4 linked regions of the Diceros bicornis minor genome follow. The protein of the gene in region 4 interacts with the protein of the main gene of each other region in a pairwise test. Links are inferred from orthologs where the notes say so. Each region holds a gene or a part of one and is shown on either strand. Other genes may lie near its edges.

Region 1 (7,140 bases), on a different chromosome or scaffold from region 4:
CAAGTGAGTTGGGGTAGGGTGGGATGGAATGGGGGAGGGGTGGGAGGAGGAGGGTCCCCTCCTCAGGGTCTCCCTCTGCTTTCCAGGGCCTCCGTCATCGCTGAAGCCTATTCTCAGCTCTGCCAGGCCTCAGGAGAGCGCTGGGAGGTGAGGACCCTGTGTTCTTGAATGTTTCTCTCAGCCGCATGTAAACCAGCCCCGCACCCCCCTTTAGTGATGGGGAAATTGAGGCCAGAGGGGACAAGGGACTTGCCTGATATATAAATAAATTCTCACTCGTGGCCCTGAAGCATTGTGCTAGACATGATGGGGGGGATGCAGAGCAGGGGAGAAGAGATTGTGCTTCCCTCCAAGAAATGTGCCCCCTGCTTTGCTCTGTAGAACCCCCATCATCCCCAGCACCACCCCTTCCATCCAGGAATAAGGCAGAAAAATTCAAGGAATGTTGATGACCCGATCCCAAGGCCTGGAAGTGCTGTAGGGACCACCAGGACATCTCTGAGGTGGTCCAGGTCTTGGACAAGAGAGGTTGTGAATTGGGCCCAGAGAGCCTGGGATAATTTAGAGATGTCCATTGAGGTGGTGGGTGGAGCCACATAAACTAAGGGGGTGGAGGTCAGGAGGAAATGGGAGGGAGGAAGCTGGGGCCACAACCCGAAGGCCTTGGCCTGGCAGAGAGAGTTTATTTATTACCACTTGGAGGAGGGGGAATTGTTGATAGTTTCTCAGCAGCAGAAGGAGGTTATGTGTCAGGACTGTCTGAAATGTGAGGGACAGAAACCCAATTCAACCTGGGAAAGCAACAGGGAATTTACTGGGCCGTGTAATTGAAGAGGTCAGGGACTTGAGGCATGACCTCATCCAGTTGTCAGATGATGTCATCAAGAACCATCTCTTAGTTTTATTTTCTGTGAGTTGGCTTCGTTCCCAGGCAGGGTCTCCGCATGAGCGGGCAGAGAGTTGCAGCTCCAGGCTCTGGTCCCACGAGCCTACCATCCCCAGTGGAGAGGGTGCAACAGTTTCCTAGTAGTTGCAGCTGTGGTTTCAGAGCTGGTTCTCATTGGCCACGCTGGGTCACATGGCTGACCAGTCACTGTGGCTCTGAGTGGCCAGGCTGGGGTCACAGGCCCACCCCTAGCCCTTCGGGTTGGGGTCCACTCCACCCAAACCTGATAGACTGAGAGATGGGGAACTGTGGTCCCTTAAAGGAAAATGGGAGTGGTACTTCCAGAATATAGGGGAGTAGATACTGAAAGGCAAGAAGGGGTTCCTATCTATCGTCTCCCACATTTTGTGTTACAGAAGGGGCAGAATGGGGCTGGGAAGCCCACCGGCGTCCATTCAAGCTCTGCCCTGGACTTGGAGGCCTGACAACTTTGGGGACCCTCTGCCCAGTTGGGGCCTCAATGGAACTAAGGAAGAAATCCCCCTTCCCTAGCTACGCGGACCAGTGGAAGGAAGACAAGCCGATGGAGGAACCCCAGAATGCTTATTTCCCCATCTCCTACTTCCCTCTCACAGAAAGTCTTATTGGAGGGGAAATTCCACTCACCATCTAGACTTAAGAAAAACCCCAAGCCAAAAGTTTTTGAAATATTTAGAGCTGGATGGACTCCGAGAGATCTCCTAGTTCAATAACCTTCTCTTCTCTTTCCATTTTTCATCTGTTTTTTTGGGGGGAGGTAGGAAAGAGTTTTAATTGTTAAATTTTTAATTACATAATTCAAAATATATTTTTCCTAGAGAAAAAAACCCACAAACATTATTCACCCAGTCATTTGGCAAATATGTATTGGGCGCCATCTTGCTCACAGCCACGAAGTAGGCAGACCCAGAGATTCCTGCCCCCGGGGGGCCCACCTCTTAGTGGGGGGAGACAGCAAACAGGGGAGCTGATAAATAAGATCGTCTCAGTCACTGACAAGTGTCTCAAGCAAAATAAAACGGGGACATGATAAGGAAATGACTAGGGGAGTGACTTTGGTTTTTTATATTGTTATTCATTTATTTCTTGAATGGGGCATGAGTTCACTTGGTTGGAAGTTCAAAGGGTACAAATGGTGTACAATGAGAAGTCTTTCTCCATCCCCCACCCCTCCACCACTCAATTTTCCACCTGGGGATGGTTGCTTTAGACGGGGGATCAGGGAAGATCTCTGCGGAGGGGACAACTGAGCAGAAACCTGACAGAGAAGGAGCAAGCCATGCAAAAACCCCAGGGAAGAGTGTTCCAAGGCAGAAAGAACAGCTAGTGCAAAAGCAGGTTCAAACTTGGCATTTTCAAGATAAGGCTTGAAATCTTTATGACCATTGAATTCCCCACAGTTCCATTTCCTATCCTATTGGTCAGCACTGCAGTGAGTTTGGAGTAGAATTTTCCAGACCTTTTACTCTGCATGTACACACATGTATATGGTACCTTAAGGTGTTTCCTTCATTTTTTTCATACCCTATGTATCATTTGGCAATTTGTTTTTTTTCACTCAATAATACATTGGAGGGCCGGCCCCGTGGCTTAGTGGTTAAGTGCTCGTGCTCCGCTACTGGCGGCCCTGGTTCGGATCCCGGGCGCGCACCGATGCACCGCTTCTCCGGCCACGCTGAGGCCGCGTCCCACATACAGCAACTAGAAGGTTGTGCAGCTATGACATACAGCTATCTACTGGGGCTTTGGGGAAAAAAAAAAAAGGAGGAGGATTGGCAATAGATGTTAGCTCAGAGCCGGTCTTCCTCAGCAAAAAGAGGAGGATTAGCACGGATGTTAGCTCAGGGCTGATCTTCCTCACACACACACAAAATAATAATAATACATTGGAGACCTCTTTCTTGCCATTTACACACCTCATTCTTTTTAGCTGCTGCCCAGCGCCTCACACAGGGATGTGCAATGGTTTCACTATCCATCCTCCTCTTGATGGACATTCAGGCTATTTCCAATTTCTTGTTGTCACCTCATTGCTGCCATAAAGATCCTTCATCAGGCTTCTTGTGTACATATAAGAATGGTTTTTACATTTTTAAAGGGTTGGGGGGAAAAAGGGCAAAAGAGACCCTATGCATAACATGCCTAAAATATTTACTATCTGGACCTTTATAGAAGAAGTTGGTTGACTGCAAGGCAAGTGGCACACAGAAGCGCCACCCCTCCCATTTCACCCGTGGGAAAGCTTTGACCCAGAGAGGAGAAGGGACTTGTCCTCTCACGGCCTGAGGAGACACCCAGAAAAATAATTATAACCTAGGTGGATCAGGATTCACGATCTCTCAGTAGGATAGAAGGGGACAGGATTACTCAATTCTTCAGAGAAGAATGAACGTCAGAGCATGGTCTAGAAGGATGAGGGAAAGGTCAGAGGCATCCGGGCGGAGGACCCTGCTTGGACAAAGGCTGGGAAGCTTGATTGCCTCACTTAGTAGCTGGGCCCTGAGAATTGGTGGTTTTACACTCCCACCTTGCACTCAAGCGCTACTGGGGTTCTGGGGGCTCAGGCAAGGGGGCTATAGCCCATATTTATTCCCTCTCTCCTGGCCTCAGTTTACCTATTTGTAAATGTCTAACAAGATTTCCTAAACTCCTGCCCCTGGCTAGGGCACCTTACGCGGGCCAGGTGGCGCTCTACGGGAGGGGTGTGACCACATGCGTGACGTCACGTGGGGCGTGGCCTGCGGGACCCGCTGCGGAAGCCTCGGAGGGTGTCAGGGCTCAGCGGGTAGCCGGCGCGTGGGGGAGGGGGCTCCCAGGAGCTGGCACTAGGGAGGGTCTCGTCGCCTCGGTGCCCTCCCATTGCTGGATGATCCCGCCATGCTCCGCGGGCGAAACTGAGTCACGGCGGGGCGTGCGTGGGGAGGGGGCCAGGGGCTTTATCCACACGGGGACCTGGAGTCCCACCCCCACCCAGGTCCAGCACCGCCCCCACCCCCTCCCGCCCCCACCCTGCGGCTGTGAGTCAGCGGCCGGCCGCGCCCCCTCGGCCCACTTCCTCCTCACCTTCCCGGGCCGGGCGGGGGGCAGTGAGCGGGAGGGGGCCCTCCTCGCCCATCCCCCACCTGTGCAGGGGAGGGGGCTCACCCCTGAGTAACCCCTCCTAAATTGGCGGAGATGAGAGACCTTGGGGGGCGGGGTCCGACGGGAGGATTTAAGGGAGAAAATTGGAGAGACTATGCTACACCAGAGGGTCCTCCTTGCCCCCCTGCTAAATGAGCAGAATGTAAAGAAATGCAGAAGTCGATAGGGAGGTGGGGAGGGTGAGAACAAATTGTGACCCCATTGAGATCCTCCTAGGAATTTCCCCGGTGGGAGGGAACGAGAGATCAAGGAAGGATCCCTTCCCCTCCACCAAGCTCCCCCTCTAATGTGGGGGCGAGCCCCAGCGTGCACCCCTATGCAATAGTGTTGGGGCAGGGGCAAATAGCGGAAGGCTGGGGTTCCGCGTTGCCCTTTTAAGCGCCCTCCAGCCTCCCACCCCGCCGCCTGGAGGTGTCGACGGCCCCTTTAAGACGCAGGGCATTGTGGGTGCGGGGAGTGGAATTTTGGAACGAAATGTAGCGAAGAGAAGTACAGTAGTAAGAGTAACGTTGTAGCCGCCGCCGGCCGAGGAGGCGCGCCGGGGAGGGGACGCCGCACCCCCTTTCTGCCGCAGGGACCCCCCCATCACACCCCCAGAGGGAGGAGGCGCCCGAGGACCCGCCCCGGCCCACGTTCCCCCCAGGAAGCCGGACTCTATGGGGCGGGACCCTGGGGGAGACTGAGCAGAGCCTGGAGCCAGCCCCGAACCCCTGAACCTCAAGCCCGGGGCGCCCCGGGAGCAGCCAGCCCGTGGGCGCGCCGCCCGCCCGCCGAGCAGCCATGAGGTGAGCCTGGATCTGCCCCCAGCCCCTTCCCCGCCCGGCGCGGGCTCCCCGCCCCGCCTTTGTCCCCCTCCCCCCCAGCTTGCTCCGGGCTCGAATTTGGGGACAGGGCATGGGGAGCCTCGGATCTGAGGTCGAGCCCCCTGGGACGAGCTCCAAATACTGGCCGCTTCCCCGTGACTCCCCAGGCTCGGGGTGGTGCCGGTGAGCTTCTCCTGGGAGCCCTCGGATTTGGGGGCGCTCCGAGGACTCTCGGATTTTTTTCAAGACTTTTTCAGAGGACCTCCAAGTTGGCAGCTACTCCCCGCTGGGAGGCCAGGGTTCAGGCAGGGCTCAGACTCGCCTCCAAATCTCAACTCGGGCTCCGGGAGGGATTGTAGGGGGCCGGTTTGGGGGTCCTGGAAGAGAGATTGAGACGTAGAGCTTGGTTTGCGGGGTGCCCCTTTACGTGGTGCTGGGAAAAGTCTTCCCAAGTGGGACCTCGCTCCTGAACTTCGGGGGTACTTAACCCTCTCAATTTGGGGGTGCTCTCGTCCTCCTGGAAGAGGTTGGTGCCGACGGATCCAGGGACTCAGACGCAGCCTGGAGGGTCTGGTGGGACCCCCCTCCCCCACTGCTCCCCACCCACGATCTGCTGAGACGGGCTGTGCCTAGGACTGAGCGAGCGCTCCGTGCGGAGGGCGGCGCCCCGGCCACGGGCCAGCAGGGCGGCCCTCTCCCCCACCTGCCCGGCCCTGGGGAGGGAAGGGGCGCGGCAGCTGGGGGAATGGGGGCCTTTGTCTTCCTGACTCACCTGTCGAGACAGCTGGTGTTTGGGGGGCGGGCAAGGAGCGCTGTGGGCCGGCTGCTCTCCCCACCACGGCGCCTCCCCCTTCTCTCACCACCGCCCCCCCACCCTAGCCATCCGGAGCTGTGGGGTTGGAGGAGGGGCGCTGGAAGGCTTCAAGGTCATAGCCCTCTCCCCCTGGGACCCAGGCTTCCCAGATAGTTCCAGCTCTCTTCCCAGGAATTGAACACTGGGGGTGGGGGACCCAAGGATTTTGTCTTGGGTCCCTCAAAAGTCCTGGGCTCACCTGAGGGCGGGGCCCGTGCGGACTGGGGGACCGGACTAGGCCCCCCCATTCTCCCCTCTCACTGACCCCCCATAATCTCTCCCTTGAGGCCTGAGCCTGACAATACTATCTCCCTTCCTCCACTCTCTCAGGGACTTCCTGCCCCAAAGCCCCCAGCTTGAGGGGGGAGGCCCCTGGAGACCGATAGGGATTAACCCCGTGGTGCCCACATCCTCCCACTTCCCCATTCCCCCTACCCCTGCCATCTGACATCAAGGTGGCCTGCCTTTTTATGACTGTCAGAGAATCCCCTTCCCCCATTTGTTCCTTCTGATGTGAAAGGAAGTGTTGGAAAATTGGGAGCAAGGGGCACCCACAGACACCCTCAAGACTTCCTGCCTACCCTTTTCTCATACAGCAACATGCCTTCAAGGTCTGCCCTGGAGAGGGGGCCGTGGTCAGGAGCCTCTTCCTTCACCCTCTTCCCCGGGGACTCTCCTCTCCCACTGCCCCCCAGCCCTGCCCCTCGCCCCCCTCTCCCCGCGTTTCCGGTCCCAGGCACCGCGGTGGAAGGCGGATGGCGGATGTCCGAGCGAGGGCTGCCTCACTCGGAGACCGTAAAAGGGCAGGAGCAATGTCTGGGCCGGCCTCCCACCCCCCTCCAGCCTCGAGGCCCTGGCCCTCCCACAGGGCCCCCCTACTGCTGGCCGGGCGGAACCTCCCACCTCCTGGGGGGTGGCAGAAGTTGCTGATGCCTGTCCCATCAGAGGGTTACTCCTACCTCCTGTGGGGTCTTCCCTGCCGATGGCCACACCCGCCTTCCTGGGCTGGCCCCTTCTCCTGAGACAGCTAGGATTCAGAACGCCCCATGCCGCTGTATGGGGGCAGCTGGGGAAACTGAGGCTCAGAGAGAGAAAAGCCTGGCCCAAGATCACTCAGAAATTCCTATGCAGTGTTGCGGGAGGGGAGGGGACCAGGATGCTCTGATTTCTGGCTGGTTTGACTGGAGATGGTCTTGAGGGCAGTTGAAAGAGAGGATGCTAAGATGGAAAATGACAAAATATAGTTCTTTTTCTCCCAGTTTGACAAATATTTGTTGAGTGTATGCTGTGTCCAGGAATCTGAGCTGGGATTCTGGGAAGGCCAGGAAGCGGGGCAGAGGTCTGAGAATCCCGGGGCAGAGGGGACTCAAGAAGAATTTGGGTCCGTTTCTTTCCTCTTCCAATAATAGTAATTATTA
Region 2 (7,031 bases), on a different chromosome or scaffold from region 4:
ATTGTTCCATGGCATGTTGATGTCAAATTCCTTTGAAGTCGATTACTTTTTGGAGTTTCAAAAAGCTGAGGCTTTAAAGTAAGTAGGTGTTGTGTGCTGCCTTATCTCTCTGACTGACTTGCACTTCTGTGTAGGCTGCTGAGGTATTTCAGCTTGCTGGGAAGCTCCTGCTGTAATCAAAAATATTTCAAACGCTTTGTTCCTTAGTTGGAAGAGCCACTCAAGCAGTTGCCCTGAGCATTAGAGCAGAAGCACCAGGACAATGTCCTTTGTTCTACTGTATCAATTCTGCCGACGATGAAATATTCCTGCTGTTCCCTCCTAGCATGCTCTTCCTCCAACCATCTCCCTATGTCCAATCCTATTGAACTTTTATGGTTTAAAATCTCAGTTCCTCCAAGAAGCTTTTCAAAATTCCCTTCAGCTGGTAGTCTAACTCATACTTCTAAACTCCATAATGTGTTACCTGTTCTTTTGGGTTGGTTACCATTTTTAACTTGATATCTCATTTTTTAGGGGGAGATTTCCTTCTTCAGACTTTAAACTCCTTGTTTTAAAGCAAGCAGAGTCTATGTTTAATTCAGCACCTCCACGTGAAGAACAGACTCATTTGATAGTTCTTGAATTCACCAAGCAACATGAATTCACCACGTGATAGAAAAGAGATCATGTGTGGGTTTGGGACTAAGCATCCAATTAATGTTGAGAGACTGACACATTCTTCTTAGGTGAAATGGATCCTCCTATCTACCTTATATAATCGTTTTAAGGATATAATGAAACGCAAACATATTCTTGAACAGGGTTAGGCACATAGGAGACGCTCAGCAATACTCCCCTTCCTTCTGTTCATTCCCCCCATTTATTGAATAGTTGATGTCTCATTGCTCTTTCTGACTAGCCATTCTCATAGCATAAGAAAGAAGATCTAATATGTATCCCCCTTATGTCCTCCAAGCAGCAGAAGCTACTCTGGTTCCAGTTTAGCACTGGACCTGCGCACACTAATGGAGTGCAATGACTCTACTGGTCAAAAATTGACCTCAGTTATCCTGGAGTCTTTAGTCTGACTTCCACATGTAAATTTAGGTTCTTTTTTTCCACGTACTGTGGCAGTTCTGTGCTATTCAGACCGCCCCACTCTCTCAGGACTACCTCAATTTTATTTAGAGGAAAATGGGAGGGGTCATAGAGAGGCTTAGGGTCTAATAAAAATCCCAATTTGTATTCATAACCCGAAAGTTTAACAATATAACTGATCAGTGGTTTAAAAATTCCGGCTTAGTAGTTTAAATGCCAGTTCTGCCATTTACTATCTGTGGGAACTTGAGTGTTACTTAACCACTTAGTTTCCTCATCTGTATAATGGGGATTAAAACACCTACCTCATAAATTTTTTTTTTGAAACACAAATAATATAGTGAATGTAAACCACACAGTCCAATTCTTAGCACATAGTAGGCACTCAGTTACATTAACTATAATCATTAACATCTTCTGCCTTTCAACTATGTAAACACTGACTGCCTGATTCTTTAGGATTTTTTTTACACAAATTGAAAACAATACAGCCTCCCAGGGTCTGCTGTTTTAAATCTCTGGTCTGGTCTGCAAGCATTTTTCTTTTTCCTAGTGGGTTCTGCATTTGCCATTGCCCAAGTGACTTCCCAGAGAAACAGGTCAACATTGCGGGCAAACAAACTGATATCCCAACTGAATTAATGGTTCAATTTCTTTCCTTTTGTCTTTTCTATAATAGGCCTATAATACTTTTATAATGAAAAACATAAATTAAACAACTAATAAAAGAGTTATTGTGTGGCTCTGATCCTCTGACTATTAACAGGAGAGAAAATGATATATCATGTTCTCTAATTTTCACAGCTGGTTTGCCATCTTCTTCCACCTCCCCCGACTATCAATTACTAATATAGTGTTTTATTTTTTTTTTAACCCCTTTCAACTCCAAGTTTAATTTTTTGGAGAGACTAGGGCTGTGCCCACGAGGGTGTCGCCAGGGCGCAGGGAGGCGGACCGGGCTGCCGCTGGCGGGGACAAAGTCCTCTTCCTCCTCCTCCTCCTCCGCGCGTGGGGTGGTTGTTCCCTGGCCCAAAGCCTTCTACCCAATTTTTTCACTTCCTAGATCAAGCACTCGCTCCGCACCCTGGGTGGAGCGCCCCAAAGTACCTGGGCGAGGCACCGCAACCCCAATTTACAGGTTGTAGGAGCGCCAGAACTTTCAGGTTTTCTTTTCAAAATATTTCCGGGGGTCATAGACTCTTTAAAAAAAAATCTAATAAAAGCTAGGGGCACTTTCTCCCAGAAAAATGATCATACCAAATTTCTGCATAGAATTTCAAAGTGTTTATAGACTTCGGGAGCCTCCAGATTAAGGCCCCGGGGGGGGGCGCGCAGGGGGAGCTGGTTAAGGAAGGGGTGAAAAATCTTGGACTGAATTCTTTCACATAGACATATACGTGCATTTAATATACGTAGATACATATATGACAAAACTGAGTAAGAGATTATTTTAGAAAAGAGTGCTTTGCCCAAGTAAGCCGGTCTGAGTCTTGGGGCGCGACGGGTCATACAAAGGGACGGCGAGCAACAGGTGGGCAGAACCCCAGGTCCCGCACCCTCAGGAAGCAGCGAGTGGAAGCAACAGGGTGCTAAAGGTGTGGGAGGGATAGGGAAAGGGGTAGGGGGTAGGGTCGCGGCCGTCCAGGGGCCGGCGGGGCTCCACTCACCGTTGCCCACGAAGCCGCGGCCCTTCCGGGCCAGGGTCTGCTGCACCTGCTCCTGGATCCGCAGGCTCTTGGCCGCCTGGCCGCTGCGGCCGCTGCTCCCCGCCAGCTTCAGCTTGGCCTCGGAGGGCAGGGCCAAGCTGGAGCTGTCCAGCTGCCCCAGGATCTGCTGGCCCAGGACTGTCCGGATGTAGCCGCATTCGGTTGGGGAGCCCGGGGCTGCCATGGGGCCGGAGGAGGCGACCGAGCAGCTAGCCTGCCGCGAGACCTGCAGACGAAGCTGCAGAGGAGCAGGGGGCACTGGCGCGAGCCCCGCCCCGCCGCCCCTGCCCCGCCCCCTGCCCCGCCCCCCGCGCCGGTGGGAGGCCCGAGCCGGGGGGAGCGCGGCCTCGAGAGCCGAGCGCCCAGCCTCCCCCGGGGGAGGGGGCGCGGCTCCCTCCGGGCACGCGCACTCGGCCCGGAGCGGGGCGGGGCGGGGCGGGGCGGGGCGGGCCGCGCGCGCCGACACCTGGCTAGTTGGACCTGCCGGCTGGGAGGTGGGAGAGGGCGCGGTCTGCCCGAGGTCGCGCCACTCTCCGAGTCGCCACGGATGCCGCCTGCTAGCGCCGTGCCTGGCTCTATTTGCCTTGCTCGGCCTCCTCCCAGCCCTCGGAAAGGATGTGATTTATGCCTGATTGCGGAGGGGCCGCCTCCAGGCAGGTGCGCCCTGGAGAGTCACTTCTGTTCTTGGGCTGCTGAGGTTTGCCTCTGGGGTCCCCGAGTGAAGCTGGTTAGGCAGGCTCTGTCAGACTGTTGGAAACATTACATGGTTTTCCTAGACCTGAGGGTGAGAAAGGACTATTGGGTCAGGCGGAAAGGACGATAGGAGAGAAATGTGCCGAGATGACATGTGTGAAATAAAAGACTTTTTAATATAGTTTATTTTTTAAATTAGTACAACTTCAGGGGCCGTGTTCTTTTTGCACAGATGCAGTCCCAGAAACATATGTTCTTCCTCATCCAGAGCTTCTGTTTTCTCATGCAGATACACAAATCGTACCCAGTACACTCTTGCTCACCCACTCCTCTCTTACGAACACACCCACACAGACAAACTCCAATAAGAGGTGCTAGGGAAGAGCACACTTTTAATAGCTGATAGTTTTTATTAGCCCTGCTAACGTTAAGTCCTCTTTATGATAGGCTCTTTGTAGGGGGCCCATGGAAGGGGCCTCTGACTTTCAATTGCATCTTCCACAACTTATATTTATCGTGCTATTAATTATGTTTCACGAGTAGTTGACTACTGAGAACTTGAGAGCTAAGCTCAAGGGAAAGTGTCCTTGATCTTAAGGTTTACAACCTAAGCCACTCGTCCTGATTTTCCTCTTTGGACTTGACACGCAAAAAGAAAAACATCTACTCCTGGTATTAAGTAAGATAATCTTCCCTTTGATTGCTTGGGTTAGTATGTTCACTTTTCCTCAAATCACTCAATTGCTGCAAAACCACACTTATTCAGGTCTGGAGTGGCCGAGAAAGTTTCCCCCTTCCCCATTTTCCTATGCACACCCTTCTGTCTTTACACACACACTTAATGCACAGGTATACGACTCTCCAAGGGAGCAAAGAGAAAATCAAGGGGCCCAAAGCCTTGACAACGGAATGGTGACAGCTCTGCCACCCTTTCTCAGCCACCACATGGCTAAGGCCTTGTGGAATTTAGTGCTTAAGTGGAGTCATGGGGATGGTGGGTCTTGAAAGCAGTTCCTCCCATCCCAGCAGGACCAGTCTTGAGATAGATTATACCTTGTGAAGAGCTCAATTATGTAGCCAGATGTAAACCTCCAAACCTCATGCTGAGACTCAGTTGAAAAGAGAGGGGTGAACTGACGGGGAAGTGATGATAGCGATTTCCAACAACAAACACTATTCCTCTCCCCTTCTTCTTCCTCTCCCCCTCCTGGTGGCCTCTTTTGGCAGGCCTGAGAGTGTTGCTTTGAAAGACAATTTCAGTACCTGCCCCCACAGGGTCAGGTGGGGCATCTCCTTTTTTGTGCCTGGAGAGCTGTAACTTACAAGATCAGAACCCTCACCAGCAGAGTGGAGAGGAATTTTTCTCATTTATTTATTTGATTGAGCCAAACTTCATTCACTTTTTTCTTCTCAAATGGATTTTTTTCTAAGTGTGATGTTGTAATTGACTATCTTCTTAGGTAGGTACCAATATTGAGCATGTAGAAATTTCGTTATTGGGCAGTTGGTGAATTGACAGGAGGACGATGGTTAAAAGCACAGCTTGTGAGTGAGGCAGATCTGGGTTCAAATCGTAGCTTGCCCTTTGTACATAGTGTGGCCTTAAGCAAGTTTCTTTGCATTTTTAAGCCTCAATTCTCTTACCTGTAAAATGGAAGCATTTTACAATGATGATGAAGTGCTGCTGTGAGGATTAAATGATAAGTGGTTCATAAGAAATACTCAATAAATAATTGTTCAGTGCTCTTTAACAAGCATCCCCCTGAGATCCACTTCCAGATTTCCTCAACTCTTTCTGATCTCTGCTTATCTATCAATTTACCATTTGAATGAGATTCTTTCACACACACACACACACACACACACACACACACACACAGTCACTCACTATCTCCATTCTCTGCTTAATTTGTCTCCATAGCACTTATTTTCATTACACATGCTTTCTGTTTTACTTATTTAATTGTTGATTGTTTCCCTACTGGAACGTAAACTCCATGAAAGCAAGGATTTTTTTTGTTCACTGCTGTTCTCTGGGACCTAGAACAGTGCGCATAGTAGACAACAGGTCCATGTTGAATGAATGAATGAATCATGCATGAAAGCACTTAGTATATTACATGGTGTATAATGAGTGCTCAACAACTGTTAGTCTAATAATTCTTTAGGCTTTCGAACTCTTTTGGTAACTTGTTAGCATCTTTAAAAAGTCCCGTAGATATCACTATATATTCTAGGTATTCTACTAATTGGCTATGTAATATTCCCTGTTATAAACAACAAACTAAACTGAGATAATTTTTGAATACTTTCAGAATTCAATGATTCAGTAGAACAATCTCTTCGAAAATAAGATAAATGTATAAACTCATTAAAAGGATCCCCTTGGAGTGAGAATCCTATTTCAAAAGCAAGAGTTAATTACAGGGTAAGGAAATATGCAAACTCTGGCATTGTGCCCCCAAACGTAGTCTAGATGTGCTTCTGTTCCAACAGAGTGCGGGCTCTGTCATGTTTTTTGCGTTTCCCGGGAAGGCTGCCTAGCCGACTTCCTAAATTGTGAGCCAGACCTGAGATAACTGCTGAAGGCAGCTTCTAGCCAACAAATTGAAGCATGGAAATGAAATGCTATGACTCCTTTTGTGGTGTTTGGCTGTTCTACAATCTGTGATTTTTTAGTATTTAGGTTCAGTTTTGAAAACTCTTCCATTTCTTTTCATTTACCAACAGAATCTGATAAAAGAAAAGAAAAGCAAAAGCAGAGGAACCAAAGTTGAGGTAGAATGTAAATAACAGATAAGTGAATGATGAGGCTACAGTTCCTGCTGGTGGAAACCTACAAGAATGATTAAAAAATTCTTGAGTTTTAAACTTGCATTTTTATCTGCTTTACGCACTACAGCCTTAAAACACTGATCTTTTATTGTTTGTAAATCTACAGTTAGGGCTTCCTCAGAGTAAACTTTATTTTCTTTAACCATATATAAATTCCAATATGGGAAATTCCAGTATGCAAAGAGTCAGGAAGTTACTGTAAGACTAAATATAGTATAAATTTTAGAGCAAAAGTAATATTTTTTTCTCTTTTTTTTGCTGAGAAACATTTGCCCTGAGCTAACATCTGTGCCAGTCTTCCTTTATTTTGTATGAGAGTCGCCACCACAGCATGGCCACCAATAAGTGGTGTGGGTCTGCACCTGACAACCAAACCCCGGCCGCCACAGTGGAGCTCACCAAACTTAACCACTAGGCCATGGGGCTGGCCCTCAGAAAAAATATTTTAATAGGGAACATTAAAGAACATTAATGGCACCAAAACTCTCTGATTCATATTAAAAAATACTCTAACACATTTTCATGAGTATCTTCTCTCATGAAATATTTTCCTGTTACTATTTGTAGGCTATTAATATCTATTGCTTTTAAAAAGTATTTCCTAAATTACTGTAAGAAACCTGGCAGATAGAAAGTTTTAAATGAACCATGGGTTTTATTTCCTTTTTCAGCAAATGGATATGTTGCCAAGGCAATCAGTATCAGTTTATCGTTAAC
Region 3 (7,093 bases), on a different chromosome or scaffold from region 4:
GATACTCAAGTCTTTTAAGACAACAAACATTCACTTTACAAAGATACTGGGAAAGCCCTATTCCCGTTTAGGAAAATGTAAAGATTAAGATTTTTCAAAAGAACACATGGGACAAAAAGCCATCAAGATTAAGAGTGATTCTTAAGTCTAAGAAACATTCCTGCAAGAACTCCATGGTGATGAAAAAAGTTTGGAATACTGTAATTTTCTATTTTAAATGTCAAGAATAGCAATAAGCAGATACAGCCAATCAAATTTAAGAGAACAGAAAATACATTTCCACTCGTGGTTAATTACTGATGTTAAATGTAGAACCATTTCTAGTGTCAACATATTAGATGACATAATTTTTCAGAGTAAGAAAAGTTATTATAAGGACTTTCAACTGGAAGCTCACCTATACATATATTCTTGTATGTTGTAACTTGTATTAAGATGATATTTTTGTAATAACGTGACTAAAGAGTCCTTCCACATTAATTTTTACAGTTTTAAGCTTTTTGATGGCAAGTGATATATCCCAAGAATTTTTGTATTCCTCATTGCACTTGTCACATGTCGGGTAATTAATGGTGTAATATATACCTAAAATGCCTTGAGGCAGGAGGGTGAGCGAGAAAGGGGAGGGATACCGTGGACACCTGCAGACAGGGCGCTTGTCTCAATGAGAGGTATCACCCTGTTGGACCCAGTTCTGCCCTCTGTGGGACCAGCTTCTCACTATTCTTAAGCATCAGCCATCTCTCCTCTGAAATCTGGCTATTCATGCCTACCTCAAATGTCTGCCGTGTGGATTAAAAGAAATATTGTAGGTGAAGGTTCTACACAATTCCTGAAGCATAACAAGTACTTAATACTTTTTCTGAACATATTTTTCTTTTTCTGAACATATTTTTAATAAGTGCCTATATGCACATGTGCTGTTCTACCGGTTGGGAGTTCAAAATAGAACAAAATAAAGTCCTTGCTCTCATGAAGCTTACAGTAGGGGGAGGTGACAGCCAAATTTACCCATAGATAGAACATGTCAGGGGGAAACAAATGTTATGAAAAAAATTAAAAGGGTGGTAAGCAGAGAGACTAACAGAGTATGTGTGTGTGCGTGTGTGTGTACACACATGTGATATTTTATAAAGGTGGTAAAGGAAGCCTTCTCTGATAAGACCTGGGAAAGGGTGCAAGCAGGCGTGCAGATGTGGGAAAAGCTTGCAAGGAGAGGGAACACCGAGGGCAAAGTCCTGGAGTAGAAAGCATGCTTGGCCTGTTTAAGGATCAGGAGGGATTCCAGGGGGTAGAGCTCAGCACACTAGGGGAAGTGAGGACACAACATCAGCGAGGCAGCAGGGGGCCAGAGCTTGTGAGATCTCAGAGGCCTTGGTACCTGTCTTTGGGTTCATTCCGCGGGGCCGGGGTGGGGGTGGGGGAACCACTGAAGAACTGCAATAAGAGAACTGATGTAGTATGCATATTTGGAAAGGCAATACATATCAGCTATGATCAAATGCTGTAACCATAAGGGATTTAATAGGTCGGAAGTGAATATTGCTTACCACTGTTCTTTAACTCTGATCTGGCTCATTTAGATTATAAGAACCGAGTGAGCCATATGAAATTGTAGATTCTATGGGTTGAAAATGGTCGAACATCGTTAGAAGTTTCAACCTGACTTATTGGATAGGATTAGTAAAAGGGCAAAGAACACGGGTTTTAGAATAAAATAAAAGTGGATTTGAATCCTGGACCCAGGACTCATGAGCTATATAGTCTTGGGAAGTTACTTAACCTCCTTCTCCTTGGGTTTCCCCTTGTGTAAAATAAGGCCTTGGCCAATATGAGCCACAAGGTTGAACTGAAGATTAAATGAGATTACAATATAAAGCATTTAGCACAGGCCTGGGAGCTTAATGAACAAGTGAACCGATTAAGAGAGGGGATCGAATCTTTTACAACTAGCAAATCAAATGAATAACTTGGTACCAAAACCTTTTAAAACCACCTATCATTTTCCTAGGTACTGAAGCAGCATACCTTACATTAGTTTTAAAGAGACAACAATTTTTTTGATCAAATTAGTATTCCTTGCACTTATAAAATTCATCCTCTAAATAGATAATTAAGAAGGTGAATATTCCGTGGCCCTATTAACAGCTGTGGATGATGGAGAACTTAGAATATTTGCGAGTTACATGTTTTTAACTTTGTCTACCTAAGGCAACTCCATTTCCTCCATCAAAGTAGCTTACTTTTAAAAACAAACTCATTCTACGTTCTTCAAAAGAACAGGCCAGAAGCTACTTGCCACTCAAAGAGTATTTGTTTGAAACCCGTAGTTTCAATACAACTCAAAAGTGTTCCTCAGAATTGGTGCGAAGCAAAATTTTACCAAAAATCCCAGTTAAGTTCTTCACAGTTAAAACACAGTAGACACGACAGATACTTCAGCCAGTGTAACTCGCACAATCGTCAGGCCGATTTTGAATAATTTTGTCCATGTTAATTGAACACGTCATAAAGAGCTTGCAATAAAATGCAGATACAGATTTAGTGACTGACAACGTTCTATAAAGCAGAGAACTACATTGTTGCAGTTCAGAAAATTCTTCCCCAAACAAACCTAAATATTTGAAATCCCCCCATCATGCTGCTTGGAAAATCTCTTGCCCGCTGTATGATTATTTTTGCAAGTTTGTAAATACGAATGTTGACTTTCGTTTTCCGAACTAGGTACAGTACATGCTCTTTATTTCACTTGTTTATTGTGGCTGCATTTTATTACTGAACACCCATGTCACCACGAAGCGCAAGATCGCCAACAGCATCGCGTCCCCTCGTTATTCCGTACACCGCGACGCTCAGTCCTGGCTGTCGCTGGCTCCCGGAATAACGGAACGCCGCGACAAAGCACAGCCTGTCCCCAGAGGCGCGCCCGCTGCTCGCACAGGTCCTGCACCGGCAGAGCGACGCCGTCGGGGCGACGAGGGGCGCCTACGCGGGGCCCGCTGCTTCTCAGGCTCCTTCCCGCCGCGTGGCTCCCGAAGCCAGAGGGGACCGCGAGAACACGGGGTGTTAGTGCGTTCCCATCAGCTTCGCAGCGGTAGTCAAAGCCCACCGCCAACGCGTCCTCTGGAGGCGGACCCGGAGCCAGGCAGCGAAGACCCGGCTGCTTCCCAGACCCGCCGCTCCGGGTCCCGTGGCCCAGCCACCCCCTCCCCCTCCCCCTCCGCATCCCCTGGGCACGCCCCCTCCCCGACCCCGCCCCCTCCCCACGCAGGCGCGCGGCAGACCCCGCCCCTCCCCCTCGCTGGCAGGGCTGGGCGGGGGCGGGGCGACCCTCGGAAGGGGCGTGGATGCCGGCCTCGACGCGCGCACGCGCTCTCGAACCTTACGGCTACGTGTCGGGCCACGTGACGCCCACCCCGAAAGTCCCCCGTGAAGCAACAGGACGTTAAAAAAAAATCCTCTTTTGGGGGGTGGCGGATCAGAGGGTTTTCAAAAACTATAGTAACGGGAGGCGAGGAGGGGGCCGGGGGGCGGCGAGCGCGGCCCTGGCGCGTCCCGCTGGAAATCCCTCTCACCTAACGCGCCGCCCGACCGCGCCCGCCAGACGAGCCGCCTGCTGGCGAGCAACGCGAGGCGGCCCCAGCCCCCGCCCCAGTCCAAAGCACGGCCGCCCGCGACCCTCCCCCAGCCGGCGGCCCCGCACCGACCCCTCCCTCCGCTCTCGCCCGCCCGGGGCGGCGACCCCGGCCCGGCGCCCAGGCCCGGCTCGCCGAGCGCCGCCTCCGTCACGCCGCCCGCCACCGGCCCCTCAGGCCGCCCACCCCGCCGGAGGGAGACGGCGCGGCAGCGGCGGCTGCGGCGCCCGGACCCGGGGCCGCGGGGGGCGGCGGCGGGAGGAGGAGCGCGCCGGCCGGGCCCCGCTAACGGCCGCCCTGCGCGGCCCCGCCCGGCGCCCGCCCCCGGCCCTCCCCGCGCCGCCCCTCCCCCCGCGCCGCCGCCGCCGCCGCCGCTGGCAGCGCCGCCTGAACTGAGGCGAACTCCGCCGCCAAGTGAGTGAGGAGGAGGAGGAGGCGGCGAGGAGGAGGAGGAAGAGGAGGAGCGGAGTCAGAGCGCGGCGGCAGCGGCAGAGGCGGCCGCGGCGGGGACCAGCCCAGAGAGACCCCGAGCCCGCGGCAGAGGCGGCGGCTGAGCGGGCGCGACCAGCCGAGCGAGCGGCGGCGGCGGCGGCCCGGCTCCTCCTCGTCCGGCGCCGAGCGGCCCGCGCCCGCACTCGGCCCGCGGAGACCCGCCTCCCGCCCGCCGGCCTCGTGAGGGACGCGCCGAGCCGGCGGCCAGGAGCGGCGGCGGCGGCGGCGGGCCGGGAGCGCGTCGGGCCGCGGGCCGAAAGTGCCTGCGGGGGCGGGGAGAGCGCGGCGAGCGCGCGGTCCGGCCGCCCCGGCGCCCGGCGCGGGAGCGGAGCGGAGCGGGACGCCGAGTTCCGAGCGGCCGGCGGCCGGGGCTCCCCGCCCCTCCCTCCCTCCTCTCCGGCGGCGGCGGCGGCGGCGGGCGGAGTGAGCTGCGGAGCCTGGAATATGGTCGGGGAAATGGAAACGAAGGAGAAGCCGAAGCCCACCCCGGATTACCTGATGCAGCTGATGAACGACAAGAAGCTCATGAGCAGCCTGCCCAACTTCTGCGGGATCTTCAACCACCTCGAGCGGCTGCTGGACGAAGGTGAGTCGCCGCGCCGGCCCCTGGCGGCCCGCGCCCTGGCGGCGGCCGCTCTCCCCGGGACCCGACGCCCGCCGGCCGGCGGGGAGGGCAGGGAGGTCGCGGCTGGCGGGGCCGTGCGCCCGCGAGCGGGAGGCCCGGGCGGGGGTGCACGGAGGCGGCGCCGAGGCCGGGCTCGCGGGCCGGTCGGGCTCGGCGGCGCGGGGGGGCCCTCGGATCGGGACCGCGCGCCCCGCGGGTGTGTGGGGGCGGCCGCAAGCCCCGTCCCGCGCCCCCGGCGCCCGGCCGCGGCAGTGGGCTCCCGACGGCCCCGAGCTCCGCGGGCCTCCCGGGGAGGAGCCCGGCCTCGCCGGCCCGCGGGCGCCTGAAGGACACCGGCCCGAGCCGCTCCTGGGGCCTCCCGGAGGACGCCGGCGGGTCCCCGAGCGGAGCTCCCGCGGGGCTGTGGTTTGTTGGAGTTTGTGTGGCGTGTAAACACTCGAGGGGAGTAGCGCGGGCCTCGTGAATGTAAAGGAATGCCGCGGGCGCCCGAAAGTAACGCTGATGGAGCCCCAAATGACAGCGGAAAGCACTTTCGGTCCTTTTGTTTGGGGAAGCGAGAAGTGTTGGGGAGTTGAACTTCACTTTTGGGGTGGGGGTGGGGGCGAGCGCGAAATACCGCGAGGATGAATGTAGACGTAATCCCGAGTTGGAGAGAACTCCGGCGGAGAGCCTGCTCCCCGGCACGCCGCTGCCTGAGTTTGCAGGACAGGAAATCAAGAGGTCTGAAAGGGCGAAAAGAAAAACGAGCAGAAGTTTGCCCAAAAGCTTTGTCGGTGGGGAGCGAAGAGTGACAAGAAGATTAATTTTGGCTAACTCTGGAATTTTTCTGCGAGTTCGTGCAGCGGCGACTTGGAGCATTAATATTTGGTAGCTGTGCCTTTCTGTGGACGCCTAGGGAATAAGATGACCAACCAAAAAATCTGTTTTGCAAATCGAGAAGCAAGGAGTTTCTTTTTTCGGTTTAGAAGCATCAGCGGAGGACTGTTTAAAGAAAACTGGAAACTGTATTTTTATAGAGGTGAACAACGGATTTTAGGCTTTTCACGAGAATTTCCCGATTTTTACAGTAGAGCTGGGGAAAAGGAATCTGAAGCTTAGAGAGTTGGAATGGCACTAAGGAACAAAAGACCGGAAATGTCTCCGAGATAAAAGATGGTTAAAGAAGACTCCCGGGAGCTTTTGTTGTCAAGAAAGTCATAGAAACAACTTTAAAAGTACAAAAGTTAGGTATTAACTGCGTTGTCGTTTTTGCATACATGTGTTACACATACAGCAGTGATCCATATTGCAATGGGCTTTTTCAACACTGTTGAAACAGCAAGTGTGTTAATTTCGAATTGCTCCAGAGAAAAGTTGAGCTGTCTCTTTAAGGGGTTCTACTTTTCCTATTTGTGTTGGCTTTTGAAAGGTTGTGGAGGCAGAAAACTTTCTGGAATGTCAAAAAAAAAATCTGCTGGAACTCTTAAATTGAGTGTTTCCAAATGTGAGCGCTAAGGGGCGCCAGTTATTTTTTTTTTAAACATGAGAAATGTTTGGAGCAAGATGTGTAACATACTCAATAATCTGACCTACATTAAATTTAGTTGAAATTTAAATGATAGTATATTATTTTATCTGTCATTTTGTGTCCATATATGTATTTACAAACGCTGAAAATACTTTGTTTAAAGTTATTGGAACAATTTTACCACGTTTCAAAAATATGATATTATTTTCCCTTGGCATGTTTTGGTGAAGTTAAAATTTTAGTAGTACTAGTAAAAATTTCTAAGCACTTTTTTCTTAAGTACCGTTGTTTACAAGGAATTCTTTATAGACATTAAAATGAAAATAGGCCTTGACAATACTTAGGGTTAAAGTTGAAGAAGTTTGAATTAAAATGTCGAGTTCAATCAAACAGCATAGGCGATAATAAAAAAAGTTTGGAAATATTTTCATCTTATGCATACTATTTAAGAAAGTAAATAATTTGAGTTTTTCTGATTAATTCTAAAAGGCTTCTCAGTTGTGCTTTTATGTTATCTAAAATCTCTAAATGATAATTTGGAGTTCTCTGTTAAAAAGTTTCTAACCTTTGGCTTCAAAAATTTTTAATTTTCTAAATCTAGAATTCCGATTATGTCATTGTCTCTAACAAAAGTTTGTTCATTTCTCTCTGATTGAAATAGTAACCACTTGAGTTTTAAATGTTGGAGACCACTAGTTGAGGATGAAACATTCTAAATAATATTTTTTTTCCTTTTAATATGCTTCATTCCATCTCTTGTCTTAGTCTGTCTTGAGTTGTAGCCTTTTCAACTCCCTGTGGTAAAGGTTGCTTCTGTATGGTAGCTAGGATGTT
Region 4 (7,992 bases):
ACTGCTTAATCTCTACACCACCACTCTCTCAGTCTCCTGACCTCACTGAACTACAGCCACACTGCAGGCCTGTGTCTGGGACACACCTCTCCGGCTCTTGTACCTGGCTAATTCCTACTCATCCTTTAGGCCTCAGCTTACAAATCAGCCCTTCAAGGAAGTCTTCCTTGATTCGTCGATCCAGATTAGGACCTTCAGAGGGGTTCCTGTAGCATCCTGGGTCTCCCCACTCACTCCCTGGCTTTCATCTGGAATTATTTTTTTACTGTCTGGTTTTCCAGCTAGAATGTACGCCTAAAGGTAAGGATCCTGTCTTTTTATTGACTTCTGTGTCCCTAATGCTTAGCACATAGTTGGCATTCAATAAATGTCAGCTGTGGGTGGAGGAAAGCAACTAAGCAGGGTATCCTGGGACGTTTCCCCATGTTGCTACCACCTTCACCCCCTTTTGCCCTATCGGGGAGGAAAAATTTTTCCTTTACCCTTCTAGGTTCTTCTGGCTGGTCTAAGAATTAAATTGATATGAGACAGTTTAACAGGAGAAAATTTAATTTGATTACATTTAATTTGAGTACGTATGGGGGCTTCATAAGAATATGAGGCCCCAAAACAGTCAGGCAATTGAGGCTTATATGCTACTTTGAGCTAAGGAGAAGGAGATGGGGTCTGGGACTTCAAAGAGGAGGAAGACAGTTCACAGGGAGATGGGAAGAACAAATGTTTGGTAAACAAATGTTTGCCATACCATGCAGAGACAATGGGATAGAGAGAAATGTGAACAAACAGGCCTTGCTAAGCTCCCCCCATCTACCACACTTGGCTCATATTCTTTGCAGGTGTCTCTGGTGATAGCTCACCTTCCTGGAACAGGCCCCCTATCTAAATTCTTTAGGCAGTTAAGGGGGAGGTGAAAAGAAAAACTTCCTGAGTCTTCTGTTTCTTAAAAATAATCAGCCTAAAATAATCCTCATGCCCAAGAAACACACTTTGGGGTGGCAAATTTTGCTCCCTTATAGCCCCAACTGTAATGGGTATGTAATAAAGACAAACATTTCTATTCATCACCAAAGTTTTCTTGGGGAGAACACAGTGTTTAGAAGAAATATCGAGTTAGCAGATATTTGGTTAAGAACATGGACTTTGAGGCTAGAGTTCCTGGTTTTGAATCATGGCTCTGCTACTTAATGGCTGGAAAACCTTGGGAAGTTACTTACCTTCTCTAGGCCTCCTGTGTAAAATGGGGGTGAAAATAACAGTCCCTACCTTAGAGAGTTGTTGTGAGGATGATATGAATTAATACACATAAAGGACTTAAGAACTACTGGCACATATAAACACTTGGTAAGTGCCAGCTATTATTATCACTATTACTAAACTATTAGGGGTGGGAGGTTAGCTCAAGGAACCAAAGTTGATCCCCAAATTCTGCTTGTCAAGAGAGAGGTCCTGTTCACTCTGGGGTCTGTTTTGTTTGATGTTCAGGCAAAGTTGCTGAAGCCAAGTTGACTTACCTTGCCAGTTAGAGAGGAGGTAACCTTGACACTGGCAGAAGAAGGAGGCAAGGTTCATTTGTACATTCAACAAATAGTGACTGAATGTCTATTTTGTTCTGGACATAATGGAAAATAAGATAGACACAGCTGTTACAGAGCTCTCAAAAAATAAAGAGAGGAGAGAGAAGCTAGGAAGGTCGGGTACTGTTGCGGGGGGCATGAACAAACCATTTCTCCCCAGTGGGTGTGGCATGGCAGAGGAAGCTCTTGAGAGAATAGAAACGCTAAGGCAGGATTTTAAAGCATCTGCTATAGGATAGTCATGTAAATCCTCCCCTCCATCCCCTACAAAATCTTCAATAAAGTTTTCATTGCTCACTAGAGAGAGATTGAAGAAGGGGAAGATAGCAGATATCTGGGTTATAGCTGCTGGGGGAAAGATGCCATAGGCGAAAAAGCCCTTCCTTACTCTTGTGTGTTCCCAGCAAGGAAACAGTACAATGCATGATACAATATTTAATGATTATAAATGATACCCCTGTGCACTGCATAATACAAGGCTCTTTAAAATGAATATGAATTAAACAGTACAAATAGCAATCATATTAACTGAAGGAAGAGGCATTATTCAAGATAGGAAACTTGGGATTCTGAGGGAAAAAGGGCCATATCTGACGCTGGAAGTCAAATATGACCGCCAACCAGCCCCTTTGTGGTTAATTAGTCAAACTGGTGATTCCTGCAACGATAACTTGTTATTTTATAAACCATTGCTTATGATGATGCAGACTTTCTTAAACATAAATATCCTAAGGTTTAGGTGTGGGGACGGAAGGGGTCCTTCCCTGCTCCCATCCTTTTTTTGACTTCTAGTTTTCACTTCTAAGACATTACCATCTTCTAAAATAACAATTTAAAGAAATGTATGTTAAAACAAAAAAAAAAGCAGCAGCCCCTGAAGTAATCAGTCATCAACCTAAATAAAACAAAACTACCAATTTGCCTGAATTTCCAAGAGTGAAATAAATAAAGCTCTGTTGGAATTTACCTACACAAATTGAGACTTTGGGGGGAAGAGAGAAATTACCTAGTCTTTTTTTTTCTTAGATTTGTTTACTGTATAAACTCTGGGGTTTCTGCATCTTATAATGTGACTACTGATTAAAAAGATACATGGTTGTTTATTAATGTTCTCAAAGCACTATGCAAATTCACATCACCTTGGGTATATTTGGCCCCTAAAGCTAGGAAGTAAATATGGCAGCATTTTGTAGTTAACAAGGCTAAAATATGTTAATTCAAATAGTTGCCTCTGAATAGGATTTTTCTTTAAATAATTAATAGGAAAATGAAGAGAGCTTGAGTGGTCAAGCAAGAAATGTAAATGACATTAGTTTTCTTTTTTAGGCCTTATCGTCCCATGTCATCTGATGTTAAAATTTAAATATGATAATGCAGAAACGATCTTACAATTTGCAGTATCATGAAACAATACAGCTTTATGCCCCAGATTTTTTGACAGTAGTATTGAAACTATGATTTATAAGTACTATTTTCAAATGACAAGATCAGTGAAAAAATTAGACATTTTGAATTGGGTGGGGTCAGAAAAAGAGCTTGCCTCTCCTTTTATCTGTGGGACCATATTTTTTAAATCAAAAGTTAAGATAGAGGGCGTTAGTGTTACTGCACCAGGTCCGTTTTTGCCAGCCACTCAGAAAGCCAAACACTGAGATGATGAGATTGCAGAGAGAGAGAGGGTTTAATAACAACAAGGCTGCCAAGTTAGGAAACAGGAGAATGGATCTCAAATCTGCTTCCCTGAAAACAGGGACTCAGGGCTATTTATGGGGTAGGGGCAAGGTGGTCTGAAATGATTGGAGGTGAGGAGAGATGAGGTAATTGATGATCTGCGCAAGCGTAGTCAGGCTTCATGCCTCTTCGTAGGAGGCATGTTCACAGAATGGTGGCGTCAGCTTGCCCTGAGGGTGGGGCTTTAACCTCCCAACGTCAAAAGGTCGCTTATCAGACACATGTCTGCATGGGCCCAGTTGATGGGTTGGTGGTCTCAACCGGCCTGAAGTGGACAAGGGGTTCCAATTCCTGAAAAAAAAAATAGCTCAAACACCCATTACCATGGTGACCCAGGCTCCAGGGAGATGTCATCTATAGGAACCTAGTGGGAGTCGGTTAGCATATTGCCTAAACAGCACAGTTAACAATGGGTAAGTTTATCATGCAGATTTAAGTCCTGGCCTTGCCTTCTGTTCTGATAAGTTTCTAGGTAAGGCCATCCCCCCCTTCTTCCTGGTACAGGGAAGAAGACAGCTTTACAGATGGAGATTTCCTTTACAAATGTAAATGTATCTTAAAAAGGGTAACTAGAACTAAGAATGGGCTTAGCAAGGACCCTCCCAGATAACCGGAGATGTCTACGGTAATGGCCTGTTCTGGGGGCAGGCCTCCCATCCCAAACTGCTTTGGTCAGTTAGTGGGGGTGGGGGCCAAAGTGTCTTTCAGGCAGAGACATATTTTGAAGTGGCCAATTCCAATCCCCCATAGTTATCAGCTGCTTAATCATCAATGGCTAACTGTTTGCCGGTTTCATTAGAGCAAAGCAGAGACAATCCTAGATCTCTTTAAATGGATGTAAAATTACCAGTGAAATTCCTGAAGGGCCAAATAATACAGGAAGCATATACTTTTGCCCTCTTATTAAGATGATGAATATATTTCTTTAAAGCAGAAAAAGGCTTTACAAATCTCTTGTCAGCTTTCCAGCATCTAATCAGCCTCAGAATGGCAACCATTTCCTATTCTTAGGCAGCTGGTGAGAAATGCAAAGTTCAGTTGCAACCAGAGGCTCAGGAAAATCAAGGACCCCAGGCCTCCACTTCTAGCATTCTGCTATCACAGAGAGAGAATTTCAGAGACAGGGCCATTTAATATGCACATGTTTTAGCCAGGTGGTAACCATAACTACCTCCCGATTCTATGATTATTAGCTTTCAACTTAGGTGTGAGTGGCTCATTTTTTCCTTTTTTTTGGACCTAAAAAAAAGAAAAAAGGAAAAAGACCTCAGGGTGTCACAAATTTCTATCAAACAAGAAAATGAGTTAATTTAGTGGCCTTGGTAGACTATGAAGTTTTGGCCAGCTTTTCAGGTGTCTCAAGATTTGGGTTGCTTTACAGGGATGACTAAATTCATTGCAAACTTAATCAATAATTCAAGCTCATGCTAAAATATCCTACGTCTTATTTTACATTAAAGCATTGTAAGTATGCTTTATTTTGGAAGGCATCAACAACAGCAATAGGCCATCTTCTAGAAATGCATTCCTATACCAACAAGACTGTTAAGCAATGGGAATTTCTAAACGGGCACATCCTTAAGCAACTATCACACTGTACTCAGCTCCTGAGAATATTCTGGAAGCATCAACTGCGAATGGCTGCTTCTCTGCAGGGGAGAGAAATGAAATTCAGCAGAAGCAGCAGTTCTTGGAAGGAGAAGCAGTTTGCCGCTTAGGATGCTTTTATACTGGAATGGGTTTACTGAGAGCTACGTTCGTCTGGAGCTTTAAATCTGTAGACCGTTGAATATCACTCCGCCTTTTTTGAAGTTACAAAATACTTTCTGTCTCCGGGGTGGCGGGAATAGAAAGTTTGGGAAATTAAATGCCTAAGACTTCAGACAACTCAGATGACATTCATGCAATGGCATTCCTTGAACAACTTACTCAACCCAATCCCTTGCACCCAACCAAGGCACAGAACCTCTGCAAATTTTGCACCCCAAAAGAGGTGGGAAAATGCAAAGGTCTTGCTGCAGTTCCTGGAACGTACTGAGAGCCGCTTTGTTACAAGTGTATCCAACGTCCCCAGCACCAGGGACTTGTGGGGCGCGGCTCATCCCCGCTCCACTCGCTCTGCAGCTCCCAGAGGTGGCGGTTGTACTATGAAGGCAGACCTTGCCAAGCTGGCCGACAAGATGCTGCGCACCCCCAAGTGCTCGCGGTGCCGGAACCATGGCTTCCTTGTGCCCGTCAAGGGGCACGCGGGCAAGTGCCGCTGGAAGCAGTGCACCTGCGAGAAGTGCTACCTGATCACCGAACGCCAGAAGATCATGGCCGCGCAGAAGGTGCTCAAGAAGCAGGCCTCCGAGGAGGAGCAGGAGAGGCCCGAGCTGGCCTCCGGGGCCGCGGCCGCCGCCCCCGGCGCAAGCCTCCGCCCGCTGCCCCTGCTCGCCGCGTCAAGAGACGCGGGGCCGGGCCCCAAGGGCCGCGCGACCGCCTCCGTCCCCGGGAGACCCCCGCGGGGCCCGAGCCCCGGCCCGAGCGCCTTCCAGCCAGTCCTGGGCGGCCGCGGCCACGTGGGGCCGAGCGAACGCGCCGCCGCGGCCATGCCCGGTCCCGGGGGGCCTCAGCTCGGGGCGGAGGCCGCAGGCAGGGGCTACCCCGGCCGCCCGGAGCTGCGCAGGCCGCTCCGACCCGTGCCCAGCCCGCCCTTCGCCGACTTCGGTAAGATGCCCGGGCCCGCGCGGCCTTGCTCCCCACGCTGGCGTCCCAGGCCGCCCGGTCCCGCAGGGTGGGCCCTGGGGGTGGGGGTGGGGGCGGGGAAAACGCTACCCAGACCTAGGCTCGCTCTCCGAAACCTTTCTCTGAATACGGATTTGGGTTGAGTGCCTTTTTGCAAAAATGTAAAAAGAGCGACAGAAAGGAGTGGGTGGTCCAGAGGGCTTTTAACATTTAGCTACAGTTTTTGACTTTCCATCTTGCAAGAAAAACATGGCCTCTAGTCCGCTTAGCCGTGGCTCCTCCTCCGCGGGGGAGGCTGGCCCTACTGCGCTTGTGCACCTCTTCCCGCCTTTTTGTTGAGCTGGAGGCGCCTCCCCCAGGACGGTCCTGCGGTGGTGCTTTTTCAACTATGACTGCGCCTGCGCACCCTTCTCTCCCTGTCTGCGTTCTGGAGGCCCCTCCCCTCACCCGTGCCCTGGCCCAATGAGCTTGCGCATCCCTTCCCGCCTTTTCCCTCGGCATGGGTGGGAATGAGGCCCCTTCTCTGCCCCCTGCTGGAGGACAGCAGTTGGTCCATTGAGGTGTTGTCTCTTTTCTGTCCTCTCCCACCACGTGCATAAATTACGTTGTTCCTTATGTCTTGCTGCTTTCACTATTAAAGTATAATTTCAAATCACATGTAGATTTGAGTTTTAAGCAACGGCTCTTTTTGAGTATAAGACATGTGTTTTCTTGGTTTTCCCTATGGCAGTGTGGTAGAAAGAGCACAAGTCTGAGTCAGGAGGCTGGGGCCTGCTCACTCTGTCACCTTAGGCAAGCACCTTACTTCTGTGTCAGTCTCTCCCTCTGGATGCCCTCTGAAGGCCATTTCTGCTTTCTGGGACATTCTAGGAAAATCTAGGCCCCCAGGGAACTAGGTGGGGAAGACAGACCTGAAACAGCAATCCTAGGAGAAGGGTACCTTTCCATGACACAGTGCCTTTCTTTGTTCCATCTCTCAACGAACAAAGACTGAGCACTTAATTATGTGCCAAACGCCAGTGAGGAACAGGTGAGGGGGAAAAGTCACATTCCTTGCCCTCAGGGATCTTGTCCTTGTGGGAGAGACAGCACTGATCAAAGAATCACACAAATCAGTGGATAGAGCTCTTATAACTGATGGTTTAGCTGTGGTCTGAAGGAAGACTAGGCACTGAGTCCTGAAGGCTTAAGTAGGCAAAGTGGGGTTAGGGGAGGAAGCCTTCCAAGCCAAGGGAACAGCATCTGCAAAGGGCTTGATGTGGGTGAGAAAGAAGCTACTAGGTTACAGTAAGCGAGGAGGCTGGAGTGGAGGCAGGAACCAGCACTTGGGGCTTCACGGCTGTGCCGAGGACTTTTCTAAGAGCAGTGGGACGTGGTTGAAGGGTTTAAAAAACAGGGAGTGTTAAAAGCCTAGTGGCTGTGGGAGTTCTTTGTAAATGGAAGTGAGAGTTTATTATACTTTCACCTTTGGACAGTGATGTGATGCTCCTTTTCCTAGCTCTTTGTGTTCTCAACACTTCCTCACTGCTTACCTTCTCAGGGCGCTCTCTGAGCATCAACTCGGATTGTGTGGTGGGGTCTGAGTACCTGGCGAGAGAGCCTTCCAAGCTGTACCCCAGCTGCTCCAGCGTGCACTCGTACCGCCCGTTCCCACTGGGCTTCCAGGACGCCACCCCAGCCCCAGGGATCCCCCTGCAGCAGGGCTTCCGGCATGTGTCCTGCAGCCACTACCATGGAGGGGGCTTGGTGAGTCCCTTCCCTGACTCCTTTCCAGGTTCCTCCTTATCCCACTGCCCTTGCTGCTTTTATGGATCTTTAATCCCAGGAAGCCACTTGTGTGCCCACTCGGTGCCAAGCCTTGAGCACTGGAAGGAGGGATACAACATTGACCTTGTGCGGTGTGCGCCTCTGGGAGTGCACACATGTACACGAGTCCATTCACATGTAGACAAGTCGGCCC

Evidence for each region.
Region 1: the proteins of DMRTB1 (region 4) and VASP interact in a two-hybrid assay, tested with the Homo sapiens proteins (2 studies listed by BioGRID and IntAct). The two-hybrid records come from large-scale screens. The link is inferred for Diceros bicornis minor from reciprocal best matches to the Homo sapiens genes DMRTB1 and VASP.
Region 2: the proteins of DMRTB1 (region 4) and PKP2 interact in a two-hybrid assay, tested with the Homo sapiens proteins (2 studies listed by BioGRID). The link is inferred for Diceros bicornis minor from reciprocal best matches to the Homo sapiens genes DMRTB1 and PKP2.
Region 3: the proteins of DMRTB1 (region 4) and QKI interact in a two-hybrid assay, tested with the Homo sapiens proteins (2 studies listed by BioGRID). The link is inferred for Diceros bicornis minor from reciprocal best matches to the Homo sapiens genes DMRTB1 and QKI.

Annotation. Positions count from the first base shown.
Region 1 is NC_080773.1:19,738,720-19,745,859, forward strand, and holds the start of VASP (vasodilator-stimulated phosphoprotein), read left to right. Parts: upstream 1-4,124; 5' UTR 4,125-4,846; coding exon 4,847-4,851; intron 4,852-7,140. Other genes in the region: PPM1N (probable protein phosphatase 1N), read left to right, coding at 1-3, 87-147, 1,303-1,371. UniProt on the Homo sapiens protein: Ena/VASP proteins are actin-associated proteins involved in a range of processes dependent on cytoskeleton remodeling and cell polarity such as axon guidance, lamellipodial and filopodial dynamics, platelet activation and cell migration.
Region 2 is NC_080756.1:31,062,556-31,069,586, reverse strand, and holds the start of PKP2 (plakophilin-2), read right to left. Parts: upstream 3,018-7,031; 5' UTR 2,971-3,017; coding exon 2,748-2,970; intron 1-2,747. UniProt on the Homo sapiens protein: A component of desmosome cell-cell junctions which are required for positive regulation of cellular adhesion.
Region 3 is NC_080778.1:7,347,805-7,354,897, reverse strand, and holds the start of QKI (KH domain-containing RNA-binding protein QKI), read left to right. Parts: upstream 1-4,076; 5' UTR 4,077-4,571; coding exon 4,572-4,713; intron 4,714-7,093. UniProt on the Homo sapiens protein: RNA reader protein, which recognizes and binds specific RNAs, thereby regulating RNA metabolic processes, such as pre-mRNA splicing, circular RNA (circRNA) formation, mRNA export, mRNA stability and/or translation.
Region 4 is NC_080752.1:15,754,296-15,762,287, forward strand, and holds the start of DMRTB1 (doublesex- and mab-3-related transcription factor B1), read left to right. Parts: upstream 1-4,976; 5' UTR 4,977-5,197; coding exon 5,198-6,014; intron 6,015-7,572; coding exon 7,573-7,778; intron 7,779-7,992.